Linked DNA regions of Xenopus tropicalis. The protein of the gene in region 1 binds, or shares a complex with, the protein of each later gene. Links are inferred from orthologs where the notes say so. Each region holds a gene or a part of one and is shown in the gene's direction. Other genes may lie near its edges.

Evidence for each region. The genes of interacting proteins can lie anywhere in the genome.
Region 2: cbll1 (region 1) and wtap share a complex: the UniProt entries of both Homo sapiens proteins name them as parts of the WMM complex. The link is inferred for Xenopus tropicalis from reciprocal best matches to the Homo sapiens genes CBLL1 and WTAP.
Region 3: cbll1 (region 1) and zc3h13 share a complex: the UniProt entries of both Homo sapiens proteins name them as parts of the WMM complex. The link is inferred for Xenopus tropicalis from reciprocal best matches to the Homo sapiens genes CBLL1 and ZC3H13.
Region 4: cbll1 (region 1) and mettl14 share a complex: the UniProt entries of both Homo sapiens proteins name them as parts of the WMM complex. The link is inferred for Xenopus tropicalis from reciprocal best matches to the Homo sapiens genes CBLL1 and METTL14.

The regions. Positions count from the first base shown.
Region 1 is NC_030679.2:76,284,477-76,287,976, reverse strand, and holds part of cbll1 (E3 ubiquitin-protein ligase Hakai), read left to right. Parts: intron 1-47; coding exon 48-89; intron 90-2,527; coding exon 2,528-3,500. UniProt on the Homo sapiens protein: E3 ubiquitin-protein ligase that mediates ubiquitination of several tyrosine-phosphorylated Src substrates, including CDH1, CTTN and DOK1. Targets CDH1 for endocytosis and degradation.
Region 2 is NC_030681.2:44,100,467-44,103,966, reverse strand, and holds part of wtap (pre-mRNA-splicing regulator WTAP), read left to right. Parts: intron 1-330; coding exon 331-389; intron 390-2,262; coding exon 2,263-2,390; intron 2,391-3,500. UniProt on the Homo sapiens protein: Associated component of the WMM complex, a complex that mediates N6-methyladenosine (m6A) methylation of RNAs, a modification that plays a role in the efficiency of mRNA splicing and RNA processing.
Region 3 is NC_030678.2:134,297,301-134,300,800, reverse strand, and holds part of zc3h13 (zinc finger CCCH domain-containing protein 13), read left to right. Parts: intron 1-599; coding exon 600-1,109; intron 1,110-3,500. UniProt on the Homo sapiens protein: Associated component of the WMM complex, a complex that mediates N6-methyladenosine (m6A) methylation of RNAs, a modification that plays a role in the efficiency of mRNA splicing and RNA processing.
Region 4 is NC_030677.2:70,545,136-70,548,635, forward strand, and holds part of mettl14 (N6-adenosine-methyltransferase non-catalytic subunit), read left to right. Parts: intron 1-130; coding exon 131-247; intron 248-1,916; coding exon 1,917-2,127; intron 2,128-3,500. UniProt on the Homo sapiens protein: The METTL3-METTL14 heterodimer forms a N6-methyltransferase complex that methylates adenosine residues at the N(6) position of some mRNAs and regulates the circadian clock, differentiation of embryonic stem cells and cortical neurogenesis.

The DNA.
Region 1 (3,500 bases):
TTTTTTTTTATTTTGTGGTGTAATGTCTCTTTTTCCCCTCCCAAAAGAACACTTGTTGAAGAAAGTACTGACACCTTTAAGCGTATGAGGTAGGTTCTAATAGTTTAGCAATTTCTTAAGTAACTGCAAAGATATGGTTAGGAATGTTTTTTTCCCCAAAAAAATATTGCAGCATATTTGCTGATGAGCTACATTTCTTGATGTTAACACCTCAACTTACTTAAGAACAGCCTTGCCACACAGAATGTGGGGATGATTTTGTTGTAATTTTATGAGCGTGATTACATTTAATTCCTGATGAGCAAGGAATCTTTTTGTTTTAAAAATATAGCAGAGTTTGTTTTTTATTATGCATAAAACATGTTTCATCCTGAAAAACTTTTGAAAGCTTTAAAATAGCAATGTTCTGGATTGCTCTTTTTATTGTTGATTAGCACTGGTTCTTTATATGAGTTCACTGAAACTGATATATTGCAATAGTTTAGTTGGGCAAGAAGTATGGTACCTATTTTCTAGAATGCTCAAAAGCTGGGGTTTTCTGGCTCTGTGAACTGGATCACCATACGTAAAGAATAACTTTAATATTAAAGCCAATAAGGTTGTTTTGCCACTAATATGGATTAATGTTATCATAGATGTAATCAAGAACAAGACATTTTTATTGCAAAAAGAAAGGGAAAAAAAAGTAACTATTTGCTATACATGGAGTGTATGAGACATGACCTGTTGTTCGGAGCTTTCTCTACCTTACAAATTAGAGATCCCATACATTTTGTTATTGCGATTTTACTTTTAATAATTGTTGGGATAGGTTTGGTGCTTTGGCAATAACTAAAGGTTCAAGGTTGTATTCTGTTAAATGAGAAAAAGAAAGTGATGCTGAAATAGATGCAAGCTCAAATCTTTGCAATTGTGAGCTCTTAATGAAAAGGGCTGTCTTTATTTCTTATATCGATCAGTATTAGCGTAGTTGATGCACATCCTTCCGCATGTTGACACTTAAAAGATATAAAACATGCAGCCCAACATTAGGTAAATTTTGCAATTAGTTTTTTTTACTGATCTGGAACGGCTTTACTGATAAAATCAAAGCTGGAATAGGAATTTAAAAAACTTGAGTTTTCCTCAGAATTTACCTGATGTTTAACAATGTATGTTTCTGTATCCATTCAATTAACTACTTTTTTTCTGTAGCTAAACAGAGACAGATTATGGCTTAGCAACCTAAACAGTTTATTCACCCACAGGGATACACTTTTGTGATTTAGTGTAGCTGTTTATCATGCTATGTAAATGACTAGGTCTGATTCAACTTGATGCAGACTGAGACTATTTCCTACATCTGATAAGCACTAAGATACCGTAAGGCAACAGTGTGGTTTGAAAAATAGTTATTCTGCAGATACAGCATGCATGCTGGAAATGTGGTGCATCAGATATCAACTTTCTTCTGCTAGCTTGAGCACTTATGGATATGATTGCCCATCTTTCACACTTGCACAGGTATGCCTAAAATGTAAAATGCCTAAGTCTCGTGCTAACGATGCCTTTGGCTATGCTGGACCTTTTAGTATGAGTAGTTGAGTTAAAGATTTTTACTTTACTGCTCAAGCATATAGTTCCAACAGATTCAAAGGAGTACTGGCAACGGACACAAGATGTTGGTAAATAGGAGCAAGAGACCCTGCCCATTAACTTTATACAGTTTGCATCATCACCCATAGTGATTCCAGTTGCTTACCTGCTACCCTGACTGGCACTTCTTCTTCTTCAAAAAAAAAAAAGCACAGCCTTGGGCACTACTTACCAAGTGCCGAGTTGCAATTTTCTTTAAATCTCGTAGATCCTCCAATTCTTGGAGGACTGTGCTCCAGGCTGGTATGTTTTTTGAAGATGGGTTTTTTTTTTTTTTTGGAACTGCTGGGGGCTACTTAAGAACTTGGCAACCTAAGTTATTTTAATGTTCCATCATTTGGTAGGTTTCTAAAGGCAAATCATTTAGCTTCTATCAATATTGTAGTCTTAAATGTTTCTAGATGGTTTTGCCCGTTAAAACTCTTGCAGCCATTAAATTATGATGTGATGTAACTGCATGACTGTTTTTAGAGTATTGCGTCAATGCCTATCTTTTTGAGGCAGCATATGCAATTATATATGCATTATTTAAAGTTCTGGTAAATTATGACATTGCATATGCAATTGTAATTTATTATAAGCCCCAACTGGCGATAATTTGAAGGTTTTGGTGGCTTTGTCTTTCAAATAATTTAAATAACTCTGATAAAGTTTAATTTGCTGGGGTTTCATTTAGAAATCCCCAATTTTAATTGTAGTAAATATGCCTCTTTACTTTTAAAACTAGGAAATTTTCATACTAGGTTGGAATATTTTTTTCATCTTACGTTAAATTAATTTGAGGAAGATTTTCATTCATTAAGAAAATGTCTCAAATAGGACATCGATGTGAATATTAGTATGTTTCCAAGCAGCATTAAGAAACTTCTGTTTTTTTTTTTTTCCTTTTCAGTTGCAATGATCCCGTTCAACGCATTGAGCAGTGTGCACGTGGCTCTCTCTTCATGTGTAGCATTGTGCAAGGTTGCAAGAGAACATATTTATCTCAAAGAGATCTGCAGGCACACATTAACCACCGTCACATGAGAGCTACCAAGCCAACTGCCCGACCTCAGCCTGAGCCAATCCATCCTCCTTTGGCCCCACCCCCAGCAGAAATCCCAGATCGCTTTATAATGCCCCCAGATAAGCATCATCTAAGTCATATGCCTCCAAAACAACATATATTGATGCCACCTCCCCCAATGCAACATGTTCCTCATGAGCATTTCAGTCAACAACATGATGATATTCGGCCCTCTCCAGCAGAAATTTCCTTAGCCCCGCCTCCACCCCGCTCTGTTAATCAGGATGCTTTCAGGATATCTACTAGACAGCATAGCAACTTAATCACAGTGCCTATTCAGGATGATTCCAATTCTGGTGCCAGAGAAACTCCTCAGGCACCTGGTCCTACTCTACATCATCCAGAGTATCCAGGCCAACCAGTGGTGGCTCATCCTCACCATATAATGCCTCCACAGCAGCACTATGCTCCACCCCCTCCACCACCCCCTCCAATCAGTCATCCAATGCAACACCCTCCTCAGGCAGCTGGGACACCTCACATGGTTTACAGCCAAGGTCCTCCACCACCAATGACAACTGCTCCACCACCAATAACACCCCCACCGGGACATATAATTGCTCAAATCCCACCATACATGAATCATCCTCCTCCAGGACCTCCGCCACCACAACATGGTGGTCCACCAGTTAATGCTCCTCCTCCTCATCATTATAATCCTAGTTCTTTGCCTCAGTTCAATGAAGATCAAGGAACTCTAAGCCCTCCCTTCACACAACCTGGGGGAATGAGCCCTGGGATGTGGCCTGCTCCAAGAGGACCACCGCCACCCCCCCGAATGCAAGGGCCTCCTTCTCAA
Region 2 (3,500 bases), on another chromosome or scaffold:
TCGCCGTGCGACAAATCTCCCCGAAATGCCATCCCACCGGCTAGAATGTAAATCGCCAGTGGGATGACGTTTCAGGGAGATTAGTTGCCCGCGACAAGGGAGATTTGTTGCGGGCTATTAATCTCCCCGTCTGTCACCACCTTTAATCATTTTATTCATAAATATGGTTAGAGATCTTGTCCTAAATATCTTTGCTAATTCACAAAGGTTGGTGCAGAGAGTAGTTCATGCACTTTTGAATGTGTAGTTAGTTGTTAAACCTTGCCACTTTAACTTCCCAGATAATTTATTCAGTATTTTAATTAGATTTTGTTTTTTTCCCACAACTAGGTGGAAGCAGTTTGAAGCATATGTGCAAGCTCTGGAAAATAAATACACAGATCTTAACTGTAAGTGGGAAATCATACTTCTTATGCATTAAAAAAAAATGAAGGTTCACATTTGCAGATGTAGCTACGTGAAGTAATACTTATGCTGCTTTTGTGCCATGTATGTTTCATGCAGAGAAATACATAGACTGATTACAGTTGTGGAGCCTTGTTTGAAAAGTAGGTTTTGTTTAGGGATACACTGAATTCATATTTTTTGAGTATTGAATACTTTTGTGTATGAAAACAATTTCTGCCTATGACTGACTTGTAATCTAAGGTTGTGATGTTAACTGGTTGGATTAGGACACCTTTCTAAAAGGTTTAAATTCAGTCAAATACAAGATCAGGTGTATCCCTAATTTTGTTAAAGGATAGTAAGCCATTTATTTTAAAAATCACATAAAATGACTTTAAACAGACCCCAAAATAACACCCCTTAATCCCTGCTTGCAGATTTATTTACTTTCCCTATTACCAGCAGCTGACCTGCACCTTTTACAGACTTCCTTGTCTAGCTTGAAGCTCTGCCCCCTTTTGCTTTTATTGAGCACTTCTCTTTACGACAATGAAGCTCAAAGAAGTGCCTACTGGGCAGGCTCACTGCCTCTGCACCAATTAAAATCAATCAGGCATACGCATTCAGCACCTTTTTGAGATTATCGTAGTCTGAGAGAGGAGGAGTGCTCAGAAAGTGGGTGAGCTTCAGACAAGGAAGTCTGTAAAAGACTAGTTGAACTGGCTGTAATAAAAAAGGCAAATCTGGATACATAGAAAAAGGTATGTTATTCCGAGGGCTGAATAGAGTAATTTTTACAGATTTAGAAGAAAAAAAAAAGTAATTCAGTTGTCAAATATAGTAATGCCTCATTCTATTACATAAATTGCATGAGGAGAAATCTTATTGTTATAGTATTTTATAGGTGTCTCTATTAAAAGCATCTATTCAAGTGGCTCAAATTATCTATTTTGTATGTTTTCTTCAATTGGCCTTTCTGGTTATCAGGGTTGAAGGAATAACCGTGTTATTGTTAATCTAATTTTTTATTGACACTGCCCTAGAAGTCTATACTTTGTTCAACCTCAGTTTAATAAACTAAACTTTTTGTTGAAATATTTCATGTTTTTTAAATTAAACAAAACTAAAATATATAGCTCTTTTACTTTCCTGCTTTTTGGTGTTTAGGAGCAACTGTCAGGTGGGAAATAAGTTTATCAACAATACCAGTCCACTGATATGTCTTCTGTTTAATGAGCTTCTCCTTACCAAATGCCTGACACAGATGGCAGCTGGGGGAATAGAGGGGTTTGTTTAAGAAGAGCTTTAAAGAAGATTTTTAAAGGAGAAGGAAAGTCATTTTGGCATTTTACTGCCAATATATTAGCCACATTAGTGCCACCTAGAACAATATATTTATTCTGCAGGAAGCTTTACCATACCTGAGTAAAGAGCCCTAGAAGCTCCCTCCGTTTGTTTAAGATAGCAGCTGCCATTTTAGCTTGGTCTTCATAGCTTCCTGCTGCAGTTGTAGCCTAAAGGAGAAATAGGTTTTTTTTTTTTTTTTTGCTTTAAAGGGTTAGTGGTCAGTGATTCCTGATAAAAGCTGGAAAGATGCAGATATGTAAGGCAAAAAAATAAAATAAAAAGACCAATTGTATGCGATTGCCTTGTCATAGGAAAAACATGGACTTTTATTCTAATTAAAAAGGTAGAAAACTGTTTAAACACAAGTGCTATTCATTATTTAGAACAAAGTGTATGTAGGTGTATAAAAGACCAACTGTAACGTATATTGATTTCAAAGACCTAAAATGTAATCTTGAAGTGAACAGTCCCTTTTACATTACACTTAAAGGTAAGCCTATTCCATTAAAATATTTTTAATGATTTCAGCTAATGATGTCACTGGACTGAGGGAGTCAGAGGAGAAGCTAAAGCAGCAACAGCAAGATTCTGCCCGAAGAGAAAATATATTGGTGATGAGACTGGCCACGAAGGAACAGGAGATGCAGGAATGCACGGTTAGTGTTGGCCCAGTTTTTTTTTTTTTTTTTTTTACTTTCAGTATAGCAATAAAGTAGACCACTTGGTTCACAGCATCAATGATGCATATTTCTAGCGTAAGTTTTTGTCATCAGTTTTCTTATTTCTGCAGTTAACATCTTGTGGGGATGAAAAACTTCTTAAAAAAAAAAAGTAGTATGTCAAAAATACTCAACTGGGCACTTTTGGGGTTTAGATTTATTTTTTCACATACGCTGACAGTGTCTACAGCAATTTAAGCATCCTCCCGAGTCATTAAATAATTTGGCTTTTTGTTATGCACCTGCAATAATTTTGCAGTGCACATCAATAAATGTTATAAAATTCACGGCATCAAAATGTAAAGTAAAAATTTCTTGTTTATTTAATCATCGCATCAACGCGTTTTGATCCTCATAGGATCGTTGTCAGGATGGGGAAGGGAAGTGAGGTGCAACCATAAATACAAAATTTATTTTGTATTTATGGTTGCACCTCACTTCCCTTCAATATCTCAAACCATTCATACTGATTATTCCTGACAATCTGCACATATATATATATATATATATATATATATATATATATATACACACAATTTTAAAATTATGTTCTTGATAGTGAAAATATTTTTCTTGTCAAGATTTGTATTGTAGGTTGACATTTTGTTTGATTAATCCTAGCCTAATGATGCCTTTACTGTCTCGTATGCTTTTCACATGTTATAGATAGGTGTATTGGGATTATGTCATGTGTGGAAGTTTAGGTGTACTGTTTCTAGTAATTTTACAAAATATTTATTTCATAGTGATTCTCATTTGCCTCTATAGAGCCAAAAAGGAGAGTCAAATGTGTTGTTAATCTCTGTATTATGTGAATATCACACATAGTAAGGAGCTGGAAGTATGTTGAGTTCCTTGCTACATCTAAAAATGCAAATAGGAAGAAGATATTCATTGATAAGTAGGAAGCATACAATTTAAACACAAGGCTTATGTAGTGGTTGGTATGTATTTTCTGTAACTCCCAGCAATTTGATTTTTAGTGCTATTTAGAGTACATTGCCTTTTGTGGTATTGCTGACATGTTTGTAACTGTCAACATTTGAA
Region 3 (3,500 bases), on another chromosome or scaffold:
AAAGAAGATCATTGTGAGAATCTATAAAAGTATAGGTCACTTTTTTATTGTATATTGGTTGACGTTTTTATATTGTTACTGCTGTCATTCCGGCCCAACTGAATTGACATAAGGACTTGAGAGGCCCTCTAGAGGGTACATATTGTTATAAGGTACTAATGTTGTAAAGTCAGCAGCATTTAAACTAATACTTTTTTATGCGTACCAGACTTAGGAAACATTAGTAGTAAATTAGTAGTAAAGAACCCCTTTGTACAAGAAAGTACTATAAGTACTGTAAAAACTTAACTTGGGGGAATGTCGGAATTAGCACATCCCACACCATGCTTTATTCCACACAGTTACATATCAAGGTAGTTGCTTTGGAATGCTTTACTTCTCTTGCAGGCCTTGTTTTTATTAATTATGTGGAGCAAGTATGCTCCTCATATGGAAGTCACCAAGAATAAAAGATTTCTTATTTGCTGCACAGAAACCCAGTTGTGTAGTTTCTTTAGTAGTAGAGACGTTTTACTATTTACACCTGCACACAGCTGTCAGTCTTATATTGATTGAGGAAAGATACCACAATAGTATAAATGTGTTTATTTGTTTAACAGATCGTCAGGATTCAAGAAGTCACAGTTCCAGAAGAAGTTCCCCTGAATCAGATCGTCAGGTGCATTCCAGATCTGGGTCATTTGACAGCCGGGAAAGAGCTTCCGAAAGAGAGCGTTACGAATATGAGAGAGAGCGTGACAAGGACAGAGAGAGAGAAAGGAGAGTTGGAAGACAGAGGGAGTGGGATCGGGAAGCTGATAAAGAATGGCCAAGAACCCGAGACCGTGACAGGATAAGAGAAAGAGAGCGTGAAAGAGACAGGAGGAGTGACATTGATAGGGAACGTGAGAAAGTTCTTCCTGACAGTACAGAGAAAGAACGAGTACGCCTTCTTGATATGCCACCCATTGCTGAGCCAAAACGTACTGATCTAAAGGAAAGGGACCTGGACAAAAATTATGATAATAGCAGCCGAAATATTTCAGCTGTGGATAAAATAGACCGAAACCCTGAAAACTCGCAGGATATCAGCAATAGCCGTAAAACTGAAAAGCCAGAGAGCTTTGATGGTAAGATTTTTTTATTATATCTTAAATTTTATTAATGTAAATTTTTTAATGAACCAATTAATATCTTTGCCCTTTTGCACACTAATGGCTTTTCGTAGAACAATTAGTGATTAATATAAGACACACATGTAGTGCAAAACACCAAATACACTTTGCAGTATATGATACTGCAGTGTGAAAACTACATTTGCCGTCACACACATACATTATATTTTTAAGCAAAAGTTTCCAAACTTCAACAAGAGTTGTTTGGCTTTCTTATGTAATGCGGCTGTTTTCTATGGGAGTAAAGTGGCCACTGTCAGTCATGCACCTGCATATGGACAGCTATTTTGGAATTGCTATTTTTCATGATATAGTTATTTATACCAGAAAAATATTTTATCTCAAACGTGCCAATATCTGAGAATTTTATGGAGATTTCTGTAGATCAAACACTCCCAGCAAATATTCAAAATATTGCAAACTTTAGATTCCAAAGCAAAAAATCTTGGAACATTAGGTTTATCCCAGGAAACCATATATTTTTGAAATGTGCACATTCTGCCGAATTCGAAATGGGTAACCATGTCTTTCTATTCCTTAGTACCAAACTACTAGAAATACTTTTGTGAACTTAGCAGTTATTATGAAAATTCTGAAAGATTGCCTCAAACCATCCACTTACAAGCATCTTATCTCCCACATAGCATTAGGTACCAAGAAAAAACCTCCTAATTAAGAAAGCCAAGGGTCCATTAAACATTTTGATGCCCATTATGCATAGGATTATTAAAGTATTTGGCATTTAGAGACCCAAAAATGAAGTTAGTGCATACATATTTCATGGCATATATTTCTACTACCAAAAAAAACCCTCAACTGATTTATGTGTAATAAAAGTGGCAAATAAGTAAGTTGACCCCAGAAAACTTTATATTTTCACAAAATACATATTCTTCCGAATTTAAAATGAGTAAATATATATTTGTATAGCAAAGCTAAGCTAAATGTAGCAGTTTTTATGTAATTTCTGAAAATTGTCTCAAAGCTTGCAATTTACCCTATTATATACCCCACATTTCGTAATGTAATAACATAAAACATTCTAAATATGAACGCCAGTTGTCTACTGAACAGTTTGATGCCCAATATGCATAGATTTAGCAAACTGTGGCATTCAGAGGCACCCAAATCAATATACAGGAGACAAAATTTCCATGGGCAAAAACAAGTAACAAAACAATGTGGAATGCAATAAAATAGCTAAAATCCAATAAAACCACTAAAATCAATGTCCCCCCCCCCCCCCCCCAACTTAGAAGTAATGCAGAACATAGAATCTACAATCTGTGGCAATTAGGTACTTTTAGTGACACAGAACATAGCATTTGCATTCTGTGGATTTAATGTAGGTTTAATGTTTATGCAGGCTAGTTCTTATGGCGAGGGCAGACAAAGCATTAATCCGCTTCTGTACGCAGCTCAGTGTGCGTGCATTAAAAGTTATGGCAACAACCAGAGTGTTCGCAGACAAAGCGGTGCGGATCAGCGGCTGGCCTGGAAAATACTAGCTTTTGCAGCTTTCGGGATTTTTAAAATTTTTTTTATAATTTTAGTTTATTGTAAGGAATTGTATACAGACAAGGCAGTACATCTAGGGGTATATTTATCATGCTGAGTAAAAAGTGGACTGAAGCATTACTGGTGATGTTGCCCAACAAATCAGCAATTAGATTTCAACAGTTAGAAAACTAAAGCAAAGCATCTGATTGGCTGCTATGAGCAGCATCACAGGTAATGTTTTTTACTTAACTTTTTACACAGCATAACAAATACACCCCTTAGAGTGTTCATTGTGTTCAATAAAGATTAAGTGTGGGGCTTAAGGAAGGAGAATTATTTATGTGCATGCACCTGCTTGGTATGAGGTTGCCGCTATGATCAAAAGAAGAGAGGGGGAGAGCTGATTAACACTGCTTTTTGGAACGCGATTCAGTAAGGGGCTGACTATAGGCAATGTTGAAGGTATTTCAAGGTAGGGAGGGGTCAAATATAATTTTGTTTAGCTGTCCATGTCATGTAGTACACACATCCAGAGGGGTTTAGTTCTCCTTTAAGTGCATGTGTCTTGTGAAGTTCTTCTCTTGGCCTTGCATTGGCACACACGCATAAAAAAGAAAAACATAAAACAAACAAGCCCTGCAACCACATCACATGTACAGGCTTTATGCCTTTTTATGGAACCATAATTGTTTGGCCCTCTGCTAAACAAATTGTTAAAAGGAAAAAACTGCATTAAAACGCAAAAAACACTAACTCAAAATCGTCATTGCTGGAATTTAAGTAAGCGCTCAGATACTGCAGAACTAAGGAAGAGGCTCAAGAGAACAAGCTTCTACCATCTCTACA
Region 4 (3,500 bases), on another chromosome or scaffold:
GTATCCTAAGGCCTTAGTGTCATTTAGTCAGACATCCCAAGTCTCACAAAAGGATTGAACAGTGTATTGAGTATTTAATAAAATTAAAAATATATCTGTGAAAATATTTTCTTCTCTAAATGTCCTCTAGTGCTTGCGCAAATGGGGTTTTAGAAGATCAGAAGACATTTGTTGGATTAAAACAAACAAGGACAATCCTGGAAAAACAAAGACTTTAGACCCAAAGGCAATCTTCCAGAGGACAAAGGTATAGTGTTGTTTTACAGACACGTACTTTTTGTGTCACTGAAAATTTTGTGACCATGACCACATTTGTAGCCTCACTCATTACAAACTCAAGGCCCACATCTCCTGCAACTGGCTACATTGCAAGGTGAGGCAGAGGCTTAGGCATAATATGTTGGGTGCATGGGGTGGCAAAAAATGCAGAGCCCCCCAGAAAGCCAGTGTGACCTAGATCATTTCTAAACATGTTAATTAATATACATTAATATGACTGTCTTTGGTAAGCAACCTTAACCTGCTTCCTTAAAAATATACAAATGTTTATATAGTCACATTTAGATATTTATAAATAGTAAAGAGTCAATACATACCTAGTTATAGAATGGAGACCAGGCAATCCTGAATAGCACTTTTAGTTTCTTGGCTACATGAGATTTGATTTAACTATGACACATTTACCTGTAGGAATAATTCCATTTTGAGCAGCTTACATTGTCTATCCCAGATATTGATGCATATGTATGCACAATCTGTAAGAAATATAAAGCTTCTTAACACCAGTCTTGGATTGCGGAATTATTTTTCTAGCTTTTCAGCTGCTGCTTGGCAGTGCACATGCATATTGTTAGTCCCACAGAAGACAAGTTTCTGAACTTTTTTTTTTTCTACATTTGTGATGAAGTTTTCCAATAACTGGAAAGGAAAAGGGAATAGTTATTTATGTCATATGTTTAGACACCAGAAATGTTCATGTTTTCAATAGAAATTGCTACTTTTATTCATTGAGGCAGCATTAAGTTGAAATTATAGCCATTAGACTGACAATGCCATAACATCCTTTTAATTTCAGATTATTGTTCTATTTATCAAAGTCTGCATTCTCTGACTTTCTGATGAAGCTCTTCCCACACGAGCTCAGTTGATTGTGCAAGTTTAAAGACAGTAATCCACTTTCCTGTTTTTTCCCCGAATAGCTTTTGCATAAGTCAGTAGTATGTTTCACACTGCTGTCTTGCTGCATTATTAAATTTGCACCATTTACGCGCTAACCACAGAGATGGCGCAATGTTGTAAAAATCATAAACTTTTCTGGATGATTCTAGACTTTAGAACATTAGTGTACAGTGGCATAAGTACTGTGGGCCACGTGCAGGATTTGCTCCCAGGTTCTCCCTCCTCCCCAGCCCTTTCACCCACCATATACCTTTATGGCGGCTCCAGCAGGCCCTGATGCAATTGTACCCGCTGCACCCCTGGCAGTTACACCACTGTAAATATTTATTCTACAGAGGCTTCACAAGCAAATACCTACTTGTCTGGCCCTTGATAAGAGGTAATAGTCATCTTAATTTTTCATCTAACTATAATAGTAAAAGTCTTATATGCACCTTCTTCATTCTCTCCCATGTATTACTGGTTAAATATATGCATATATTAAATCCTATAATTGAAGCACTCTTCAAAAATGATATCTGCCTGAGGAAATAGTAAAAACAAATGAATAAGATTCTGCGCTCAGTACATAATAATCACTTTCAGATCTCCCCACAGAAATCTTGTTTGTAAAATGAAACAAAAGTAAGAACAACTGCCTGTTTTACTGTTAAATATACATTTTCCTTAGCACAAGTACAAGCATTATAATCACACAAGAGCTTTTAATTATTCTGTTTGTGGACGTCTATTTGCAGGAGCACTGCCTTATGGGTATCAAGGGAACAGTTCATCGCAGCACAGATGGAGATTTCATCCATGCAAATGTTGACATTGATCTCATCATCACAGAGGAGCCTGAAATTGGAAACATTGAAAAGCCAGTGGAGATTTTTCACATTATTGAGCATTTCTGCCTTGGAAGGAGACGGTTACACCTCTTTGGAAGGGATAGCACTATAAGGCCAGGTAAGGCTTCATCTAGAATGAGATTACATTCCTATTGCTGAATACATTAAATATATTGCGAATGCAATATTTGTGCTCTAACAATATAAAATGGCTGGCTCAGGGATAACCATATTGGCCCTTTATCTAATTCCAATGGGGGTTGCATTATAGCACATGTATCCACATCCGACAGGGAGGTGAGTGGACGTATAATCACGTGTGACAGGCAGCCTGGGATGGCAAATGTAAAAGCAGCTGTTTGTATGGCTGATGTAGATGGCAGAGAACACTGCTGCTGAATCTTTGCAGTGAATGAAACTGTTTGGTAATTGGACTGGTGGGAAATCGCTCAAGGCTATACTGTCCCACGGTGCTGTATAGAGAAGGTGAACCCTCAGTCTAATCTGAGTGTATCCAGGCAGCATTGTCTGCTTAATCACCAGTGTCCTTCAACTCTTAAGCACCCATAAATGGATAGGGTTGAGAAAATCATTTACCCACTGCGCATGCCACATATATTCACGCTGGTGTTCTTTCTTAGCCAGTTCTGTGCTTGTAAATTATGAACTTATGCCTTGCATTGAATAGTTTATATTAGTAAGCCAGCACTGTTACCTTAATACATTTATGGAACCAGTTCCCATGAATTGTTCTAATGCATTGCAATGGCAGTGGATTTATATTGGATAATTGTTTTGGATAATTTATACAAACTGCGCTTGTATTCAGACATTGAGTTTCGGCACAATGAACATTTTTGTTAGATCATATTTTAGATTTCTACCCTACTTTAATAGAAACATGGAATACGTGGAATACGTTATTGAAGTCACTTTTTCATATGGGAGCACCATATTTTGGTACATCCTTTGAGCCCAGTTTTTTGTGTTCTCTTGCTTTTTATTATTTATTATATTTTGGCTTTACACTGGTTCACACAGCCTTTGTAACTCACATTCTCTGTTATTGCAGTGTGCTTCTGTATTCTATATTTACTACACCAGATATCCTCGGAGGATGGAATCACAAGTCTGATATGCTTAGTGCTGCTGAGTTGCATGTCACAAAGTAGCTAATATACACAGTGTCACTTTTCTTGCAACTTATTTATTGTGACAAAAATACATTCACATTACATTCTGTGAATTTACAATCTGTTTCTTAAATATATTCCATATCTGGTATGTCATGGGAATGCAATGTGTGTTTATTGCCATGTGTTCCCCCCTACAAATGTTGCAATTTCTTACATCATATTTGTACTCATGTTAAATTATTTCTGCCTGTTCCCTGAATCTACCCTTTCATGGAGGCTCTGCTTTACAGTGTGTCAGAACAGAATGCCTAGGCTCTAGGGACTCCTATAAAATAAATGGAGATGATATACTTGG